2 linked regions of the Xenopus tropicalis genome follow. The protein of the gene in region 2 interacts with the protein of the main gene of each other region in a biochemical or structural test. Links are inferred from orthologs where the notes say so. Each region holds a gene or a part of one and is shown on either strand. Other genes may lie near its edges.

Region 1 (4,886 bases), on a different chromosome or scaffold from region 2:
TTATCTTTTTCGCCAGTAATCCCTTGTGTGCTACTAGCAAATTTAATGTACTGAGCATGTGCAGTCAAGACGTCCAGCTTATTAATAAATATAATCTCTATTAAAATAGTGTCTGTTCCTTTTCATAGTCTGCATGTTGTTTCTGACTTTTGAAGCAATGTAACAAAAGCGAGCTTATTAACAGATCTGTGAATAAAGAACAAAGCATTATGGGAGCTGGAATCAGGGCAGGAGGAGAGCTGACACTTGGGACATTATGTAATAAAAGGTGCTAACTTTGCCCAGGGGCAGTAACCCATAGTAACCAATCATGTATGTATGTATGTATATCTTTATTTATAAAGCGCTACTTATGTACGCAGCGCTGTACAGTAGAATACATTAATACAAACAGGGGGTTAAAGATAATGGATAAATACAAAGTACAACAATAAATACAAATAAATACAAGGTACAGTTGCAATAAGAGTCAGGAACAAGATGAACGAGGTCCCTGCCCTGTAGAGCTTACAATCTATATGGGAGGGGTAACTAACAGACACAAATGGGCAAATGTAAGTGCTGTAGGTCACAGTGTGTGACACTACAATATAAGTGCCAATCAGCAGGAAGCATTCACTGGTCACTTGTTTCAAAGCAAAAATCTTGGTTGCTATGGGTTACTGCTCCTGGGCAAAGTTAGTGCCTTTTATTACATATGAGGATGGTACTCTGTTTCAAGAGTCAACCATTGAACATGTGGAATTAAAGTTGCTTAGGATCAAATTTCCTTAATTATGCAATAAATATCTTTGGATCTAGTTCCCCTTCAAATATTACACTTCTTCCTTTGTAAGTGATCTATTTCCCTGCTCCTCCTCAGAGGGCCTCTGCGCAGCTGGGCCCCCTGATAATTACATTCTCTTTCGTTTGCTAAACCTGGCCCTTGGTGTTATAGAACGGAACAGATACAGTATAAACAGTCTATTGTAGTATATAACACTGCCGGGGCTAGCGAACCAAAGCGTACTAGAAATATATTAACAAAACAAGTACCAAATACAACCACAGATTGCTGTCAGTACCGGCAAATCCCAGCGACTCGGGCCGCCAGGCACTCCCTGTACACGTGTCTATAAATATCCACTGACGTCTCTACTTAGGCGAGTTATTTCTTTTTTTTTTTCTCTCTGAAAAAAATAGGGGCATGTGACACACTCGCCGCCCAATTAGGTTCTGCGTAGCTCTTCGAGCCACAAAAGGGTTAATAAATGACCTCAACCCAGCCTGCCTCGCTGCCTACAGGACACACCCACTATGCAAACGAAGGAATATCTTCACGTCATGGCGAACCAATCTCTTGGTCGGTAGGTGACATCATGTTGATGAGGAGGGTATATATATAACTTAACTGGGAGCGATACAGTTTAGTGTATAGCGAAAGACCGGAGGGGGTGAGCGTTAAGGCTTTGTAAACACTGAGGAGGCGCCTATCCCGTTACTGGCATGATTATAGGAACAAAGAGCCTACATTAGAACCAGCCCAAAACCTGGAACTTTACCAAAGCAAAGGACTTTTCATACCAGTTATAACTGAGGTTCTCGAAAACTGACGGAAAGAACGTTTTGCTGCGACGCTGGTAGCCGTGATAACAAAGAGGGATCCTGTCAGCTGAGGGGACACGGACGCGCAGGACTGTAGTATCCAAAGTTGCTTGATGTCTCTCTCCGACACTGGATTATTTTCTACGTGGTTTCTATTCTTGCAATGAAAGTCCAAGGCGGCATGTCACACTTTTAAGACGAGGGAGCGGGGACACACAGACCCCCTTCGGGACTCGGGAGAGGGAACAAAGGCTCCTTGGAGTGATTACGCTGCCCCATTACTTTGGAACAAAGTCCCGTAGTCAGAGTGGGTGGCAGAAGGAAGCCTTAATTCCTTTCGGCCTTTCTCCTTTGCCAAAGCATCAGAACTTTTGGACTAAAGTCAAGGGGTGTAGGCAAGAAGGGGTACACTTTGTGTCCTTTGCGCACCCACTTCTACTTCAGTTTGCGTTAGGGGATGATGGAAATACCCTTCTATCATGATGATGTGTTGAATGTTTCTCAGGCTCCCCTCTACACTTCTCCTTTTAGCGCTATGATGAAAAAGGATCTGAACCTTAACCTGACTGACCAGGTTGTAGCTAATTTAAAGCCACACCTCCGCGATGGGGAGCTGCTGACCTCCCCTGATCTTGGGCTACTAAAGTTGGCTTCTCCTGAGCTGGAGAGGCTTATCATCCAATCAAATGGCATGGTCACCACCACACCTACTACTAGCCAGTTTGTGTACCCAAAGGTGGCTAGTGAGGAACAAGAATTTGCAGAGGGCTTTGTGAAAGCATTGGAAGATCTTCATAAACAGAATCAATTGGGGGTTCAACCAGGCAGTTTGGATTTAAGCTCAGTGCCTGCTGGATCTAACCTTCAACCTCCATCAACCTCTGATGCTCCTGTCTATGCCAACCTTAGCAGCTACCCCAGTGGGGTTATGGGAACCACTGTCAATTATAGTACTGATACTGTGCCATACCCACCACCTCCATCAAACATGATACAGCAACCAGCACCTCCACCACCCAGACTGCAGGTTCTGAAAGATGAGCCACAGATTGTACCAGAGGTTGCCAGCTTTGGGGATAGTCCACCAATGTCCCCTATAGATATGGACACACAGGAAAGGATCAAAGCAGAGCGAAAGAGGCTGAGAAACAGGATAGCAGCATCTAAATGCAGAAAGAGAAAGCTTGAGCGAATCTCCAGACTAGAGGAAAAAGTGAAGAGCCTTAAGACACAGAACACTGAGCTGGCATCTACTGCTAACCTGCTGAGGGAACAGGTGGCCCAACTAAAGCAAAAGGTCATGAGTCATGTCAACAGTGGCTGCCAGCTTCTGCCCCAACAGGTCCAAGCCTACTAAGCACTGGATCTTTTTCAACTATTCAGACCTATCCATTGCTTTACCTTACACCTGTAATAATTGTATTCCAATTTTGAGAAGCTCACTAAGTAAATTTAGTTGGGACTTTGTCATTTTTGTAAAGTGTATCAACTCAAATGACCAAAGACTGGAGGGTGGCCCATTACTTTGGGAAGCATCAAACCACTCCCATTACTACTGACCATAACCAAATAGTGTCATCTAATGTAGGGTGACCATTAAAAAAAAAAGTAAACACAACCAAGGTGGAGGAGCACGGTGTTGCAATGGTGTTATGGCTGCAAGTTTCTTATTGAGACTGATACTTTTGAGACACCAGTGTTGCTGCAGTTTCTGTTTTGTTTGTTTGTTTTTCCTCATGTAAACAATCTTGATTTGCATAGTACAGACAGATTTACCAATTAAACCCCATAACACCAACTCTAAGGAAGTTTGAGGTGGCCTAAGACAACAGTGACTACTATTAATCTAGAGTGCATACATATCAGGACTTACAGAATGTTATTGTGGGTTAAGGTTTTGTTCCCTAGACCCTAATGACACTGCTCACTCCAGTAATATGTTCTGTCTTGAGCTGTACAGACAAGTTTGTACATGCAGTAATGCTTATATCCAGAACATGTTTGAGACAAACTTGGTTGGATGTTAATGCCAAGTGCAATCAATGCTGATTTATATATAAACTGCCTTAAATGTTTACAACGTTTCAAAAGCAGATGACAGAATAGGCTACGGTAACCTGCACTGAAACTTCTTAGCTACTGAACTAATCCACACATACAGGAATATCCAGTATCAAAGAAGTTAAAGTGCATGAGTGCACTATGTCTGCATCTTCTATGCTGAGCTATAATTTGTATGATATGTAAATGTATTTTACAGAACTTTTGTTTGAAGTGTTCAGTTTGCTATAATTAAGTTATACTGGGAACAATGTTTTCAAACTGTTTTTTTACTACACATTCCAGTATATACAGTACTCCAGTGCTCTTATATATAATAAAGTATTGTTAAAATGAGTTGAGTTTGCTTGGTGGTGTTCCTATGACATCTCTTAGGCCTGTCTTTTCACAAGAACCTCATAAAAAGGTGCAGTTTTTTAGAATTCTGTTATCTTATGTATATTTCCATTTGGTAACAAAGGTGCATATTTCATATCTGGGTAAGAGGTAAGCTATAAAAAGATCAGTGTGTGTACTCAATAGCACACAGGATGGTTGGAAACTATTGCTTTATTAAATGACAAGCAATTTTATTCTAACTAAATAGTAAGCTATCCCTTTTGATATTTTTTTTCAGTTAACTATGTCTGTGCCCCATCTTATCAGTACAGTATGTTACATTTTTAAAGTTTTTTTATCCTCAGCTTGCATGATTGTATTTTGTATGAGTATTACAGTGCAAATATTCACACACATGTGTTAAGAGATGTACTGTCCTCACACAAACTGTGTAAATGTCAGTTTCTTGTGCTTCATATTTACAGTATTTTACAGTATTGGATATGAAGACTGGTCAGTTGTAGCTTTTAACTGTATGACTGGTATATGTGTGCATGTTAGTAATTCATAATTAAGCCCAGGGATTGGGATACCCACAAAATTAAATAAACCATTCTGTGGTCCTTGTAATTATTTTACCTGCTCTACACAAACTGTCCTTAGATCAAACCAAAATGTATTTTATATTGGACTACTCACTGTGGCTTATTATCAGTGGAAAAATTACACCAGGGCAGTAACCCATTTTAACCAATCACATTTTTGCTTGCATTGTTCTATCCACAGCTGGCTAAGAAAAGCTTATAGCTGGTTGGTTACTATAAGTTCCAGCACATGTGCAATTTTTCCTAGTGTGGATAAATGAGCCCACTGTGCACAAACGGTTGACATTCAGATTTTTAGCTATTGCATCTTACTAAAGG
Region 2 (5,460 bases):
AAAACAAATTAAACACCTCTGTAGTATTTATTTACTTCATTACAAACAAAAAAACTTGAAATGATCTGCAACAGAAGTTCCAGCACTCTCTAAAACAGCATTTGAAATGTAAAAGAAAATTAAATATAAGAAACAATTGGAGATATTAGCAGATATATTTACAATAACAAGCAAAGAAATTGTTTATAAAAAGACAAAGTAGCTTCTGTTTGTATCATACAAAAAAGATGTCAGAATACAAGTCATTTCCATGACTTGTATTGTAATAACACACGTAACAACACATGTACAAGCAGCAGTCACAGCCCTATCCTTATCTTTTTGTATGATACAAACAGAAGCTACTTTGCCTTTTATGTGTGTGTGTGTGTGTGTGTGTATATATATGTCCCCACTATTTGGCAGTAGTGATGATGCTGGTGGAGCCCCAGTAGTTCAGTATAACAGAGGAAGGCTGTGGGGCATCAGGAGAGGAAGGCTGGGGGGCATCAGGAAAGGAAGGCTGGGGGGCATCAGGAGAGGAAGGCTGGGGGGCATCAGGAGAGGGAGACTGGGGGGCATCAGGAGAAGAAGGCTGGGGGGCATCAGGAGAGGAAGGCTGGGGGGCATCAGGAGAGAAAGGCTGGGGGGCATCAGGAGAGGAAAGCTGGGGGGCATCAGGAGAAGAAGGCTGGGGGGCATCAGGAGAGGAAGGCTGTGGGGCATCAGGAGAGGAAGGCTAGGGGGCATCAGGAGAGGGAGACTGGGGGGCATCAGGAGAAGAAGGCTGGGGGGCATCAGGAGAGGAAGGCTGGGGGGCATCAGGAGAGGGAGACTGGGGGGCATCAGGAGAGGAAGGCTGGGGGGCATCAGGAGAGGGAGGCTGTGGGGCATCAGGAGAGGGAGACTGGGGGGCATCAGGAGAGGAAGGCTGGGGGGCATCAGGAGAGGAAGGCTGGGGGGCATCAGGAGAGGAAGGCTGTGGGGCATCAGGAGAGGGAGACTGGGGGGCATCAGGAGAAGAAGGCTGGGGGGCATCAGGAGAGGGAGACTGGGGGCATCAGGAGAGGAAGGCTGGGGGCATAAGGAGAGGAAGGCTGGGGGGCATCAGGAGAGGAAGGCTGGGGGGCATCAGGAGAAGAAGGCTGGGGGGCATCAGGAGAGGAAGGCTGGGGGACATCAGGAAAGGAAGGCTGTGGGGCATCAGGAGAGAAAGGCTGGGGGGCATCAGGAGAGGAAAGCTGGGGGGCATCAGGAGAGGAAGGCTGTGGGGCATCAGGAGAGGAAGGCTGGGGGGCATCAGGAGAGGAAAGCTGGGGGGCATCAGGAGAGGAAGGCTGTGGGGCATCAGGAGAGGGAGACTGGGGGGCATCAGGAGAGGAAGGCTGGGGGACATCAGGAGAGGAAGGCTGGGGGACATCAGGAGAGGAAGGCTGGGGGGCATCAGGAGAGGAAGCTGGGGGGCAGATTAGGAAGGTGACCCGACAGCACGGTGCAGGGCAGAATCCATCCGCCTCCCATGTGTTTGTTATGTGTGCCTCCAGGCAGCAGGCGGGGAATCGCTGGGGTAACAAGGAATAAAAACAGCCAAACAAGCCAAAGGCGCCCTCTTCCTGCTCTTTCCCTGCTGGGATCCTCCTCCCGCCGTCACATGCCAGCAGCCTGCAGTCATTGTCCCCGCCTGGGCACCATTGGCTCATACCGCTGCCGTGTAGGAGTTAATAATGACCCTCTTATGGCCAGAGGCTTCCCCCCAGTGTCTGTGTAGCTCCTCCCTCCGCTCCTCCCTCCCGCACTACTTCCCCGGTCCCCCCGCTTGCATCACCGCCTGGGCTATTAATAGAATGACGTCAGGGCGGGCCACATTCCTCCGCTCTCCGTGCGCGGCTATATAAAGGGGTGATGCAACTGCACTGCCACAGCTTCTCCCAGTCAGAGCGGGGGAGGCACACGGGCAGCCGAGTAGTACAGCCAGCGGCAACGCTTCTCCCTCACTTCCCACGGAAAGAGCACGGTAAGGACCGGGGAGGCAGAGCCTCGAACGGTACAACTTTCTCTCTTCCTGAGTCCCTACTTCCCCGCCGGGCAGGCTGAGCCGCAGCGCTTACTCCTCTACTTTCCTCTAGCTTGTTGTGTAACCAGCCCGGTCCCAACTCCGGGAAACTTCCCTACTCTGCTGCCGGAGCGGGACTCGCTCATTGGCTCTTACAGGGGCTTTACTTTGTGCCTGGGCTGCTTACTTACCCTTTATTCCAGCTGTGGGATAACTTTCCTTATGTATAAATCTACCATCATATATATATATATATCTGCCATTTCTCCCATTTATATATATAGTTTTGCTTTACTTTGTGCCTGGGCTGCTTACTTTCCCTTTATTCTTTGCTTATTCGCTGCCTGAGTTTGGGCAGTGGCCCCTGAGCCCCCCATTTTATTCCCTGTGTTACACATGGGGGAAAATGTATAATTTTATCTTTGGAGGGGATATAACAGTATTGCCTGGGACTTATCGCTGTGTGATAACTTTACTTATTTATAAATCTACCATCATATATATATATATAAATATATATATCTGCCATTTCTCCCATTTATATATATAGTTTTGCTTTACTTTGTGCTTACTTACCCTTTATTCTTTGCTTATTCGCTGCCTGAGTTTGGGCAGTGGCCCCTGATCCCCCCATTTTATCCCCCACACCGGTCCCTGTGTTACACATGGGGGAAACTTTATAATTTTATCTTTGGAGGGGATATTACAGTATTGCCTGGGACTTGTCGCTGTGTGATAACTTTACTTATTTATAAATCTACCATCATATATATATATATATCTGCCATTTCTCCCATTTATATATCTCCAATATGTAGTATATGTTTCATTTATATATCATCTTTATCTATATATCTCCTGTCATCTATATAATCCTATTTATATTTTTCTTTTTAACACTATATTATAATTTTTATATCATTAACTATATATTGTACACTGTCATTTATCAGCTATATATCTGTCATTAAAATATCTCTCATCATCAATCTCAGCATCTCTATATTTCCCATTTTGTCACATCATCAATGTATCTCACATTATAGTTCATCATCTATAGATCTCTTATTATCTGTATATTTTCTATCTTTTATATATGTGTCATTAACTATATATATATATATATATAGTTAATGAAACATATATAAAAGATAGAAAATATACAGATAATAAGAGAACTATAGATGATAGTTTTAATAAGAGAACTATAGATGATAGTTAGTTTTATATATAAATATATATATATATATATATATATAAAACTATCATCTATAGTTCTCTTATTATCTGTATATTTTCTATCTTTTATATATGTTTCATTAACTATATATATATATATATTTATGTATCTGCTATGTATCTGTCTATCTTAATATAACTCTCATTAATTGGATATCTGTCATATCATACGTATAGCTCCCATCTTTTATTTATTTCTCATTATTTATATCCTGTCTGTATATCTCATGTCAGCTTTATTCTGTCATTATATATCTCCCATTATCCACGTATCTCTATATAGTCTCATTTATATATCCCATTTTTATATTTTCATTTCTATATCTCATATATATATATATATATATATATATATATATATATATATATATATATATATATCCTCAGGTGTATATCCTCTATTATCTCTATATCTAGCCATATATATTTCTCATTTACCTATGTCCCATCATCTATATATCTTCTGTAATCTGTATATCACTCCATGTCTATATATCCACGTGTAGCTGTTCATCTAGTTGAATGCCTGTTTTATTTCTCTCACTCTTGTATCTGGGTACCTGTATCTCTTGCAGTCTCTTTACTTTCCATCTGTCTCTCTCGCTCTCACTGTGCCTCTCTGCTGTAGGAATGGGTTAGTATATGTGTATGACCGTGAGTGCCCCGTTGGGATGGTAGTTGTGAGTGCAGTTTAGTTGAACTTTTCCCTTAAGCTCATTATTGTTACATTGGAGACAAAGGGAGATCCCGGCAGGCAGAGAGTTTGGGCTTTGCCCTCTGTATGAAGAAGTGAAGGGCCAGTTGGCTGTGTGTGTGGGAGAGGCAGCCCAGTTCAGTGCCCGGCACACCCAGTACCAGTACACACATAACCTCGGGCTGCCTTTGTCCCGCGCTGGGAGGTTTCAGTTGCAGCCTGGTGATGAAACTGCTGCCTAATACTTTCACTTCTCCCTCCTGTGTCCTGTGTACGTACTGGCCTCAAGGTGGCGGTACATTCCAGCAGGAACAGCACACTCAGGGTTCCGGCAGGAATTCCAGCTGTAGGATTGTGGTTAGAGCTGAGGATCTGGCAGCTGGAGCACCGGCTCTCATGGGCAGCACATTACTGTGCTTTAGTAGCTGCATTGCCAACAGTTACAACCAATGTATCAACAGTTCCAAGAAGTATAATATAAAGATAGGAGAATATAATATTATAGTATAATAGGTACATTTTGATTGTTGTTTGTCTACCCCTTTAATTAGTTGCTGCTTGCAATGGGGATCAGATAGGATCTGTGCCACTGTAACGGAATGCTCTGTTATACAGATAGCTAGAATCTCAGCCATAAAGCAGGGCAGGACTGCTGCTTACAATGGGGGGATCAGATAGGATCTGTGCCACTGTGACAGAATGCTCTGTTATACAGATAGCTAGAATCTCAGCCATAAAGCAGGGCAGGACTGCTGCTTACAATGGGGGGATCAGATAGGATCTGTGCCACTGTGACAGAATGCTCTGTTATACAGATAGCTAGAATCTCAGCCATAAAGCAGGGCAGGACTGCTGCTTACAATGGGGGGATCAGATAGGATCTGTGCCACTGTGACAGAATGCTCTGTTATACAGATAGCTAGAATCTCAGCCATAAAGCAGGGCAGGACTGCTGCTTACAATGGGGGGATCAGATAGGATCTGTGCCACTGTGACAGAATGCTCTGTTATACAGATAGCTAGAATCTCAGCCATAAAGCAGGGCAGGACTGCTGCTTACAATGGGGGGGATCAGATAGGATCTGTGCCTGGTGACAGAATGCTCTGTTATACAGATAGCTAGAATCTCAGCCATAAAACAGGGCAGGACTGCTGCTTACAATGGGGGGGATCAGATAGGATCTGTGCCACTGTGACAGAATGCTCTGTTATACAGATAGCTAGAATCTCAGCCATAAAGCAGGGCAGGACTGCTGCTTACAATGGGGGGGATCAGATAGGATCTGTGCCACTGTGACAGAATGCTGTGTTATACAGATAGCTAGAATCTCAGCCATAAAGCAGGGCAGGACTGCTGCTTACAATGGGGATCAGACAGATCTGTGCCACAATGACAGAATGCTCTGTTTACAAATAGTTAAAGGATTAAACCAGATGTTGCTACTGTTTATGTACAAAGCATCATCAGGAAGCAATGTAGTGATCCCTATAGCTG

The links.
Region 1: the proteins of atf3 (region 2) and jund form a complex in vitro, tested with the Homo sapiens proteins (2 studies listed by BioGRID and IntAct, with this or other methods). The link is inferred for Xenopus tropicalis from reciprocal best matches to the Homo sapiens genes ATF3 and JUND.

The regions. Positions count from the first base shown.
Region 1 is NC_030677.2:103,484,131-103,489,016, forward strand, and holds jund (transcription factor jun-D), read left to right. Parts: upstream 1-1,395; 5' UTR 1,396-2,041; coding exon 2,042-2,941; 3' UTR 2,942-3,981; downstream 3,982-4,886. UniProt on the Homo sapiens protein: Transcription factor binding AP-1 sites.
Region 2 is NC_030681.2:14,462,492-14,467,951, reverse strand, and holds the start of atf3 (cyclic AMP-dependent transcription factor ATF-3), read left to right. Parts: upstream 1-1,829; 5' UTR 1,830-1,993; intron 1,994-5,460.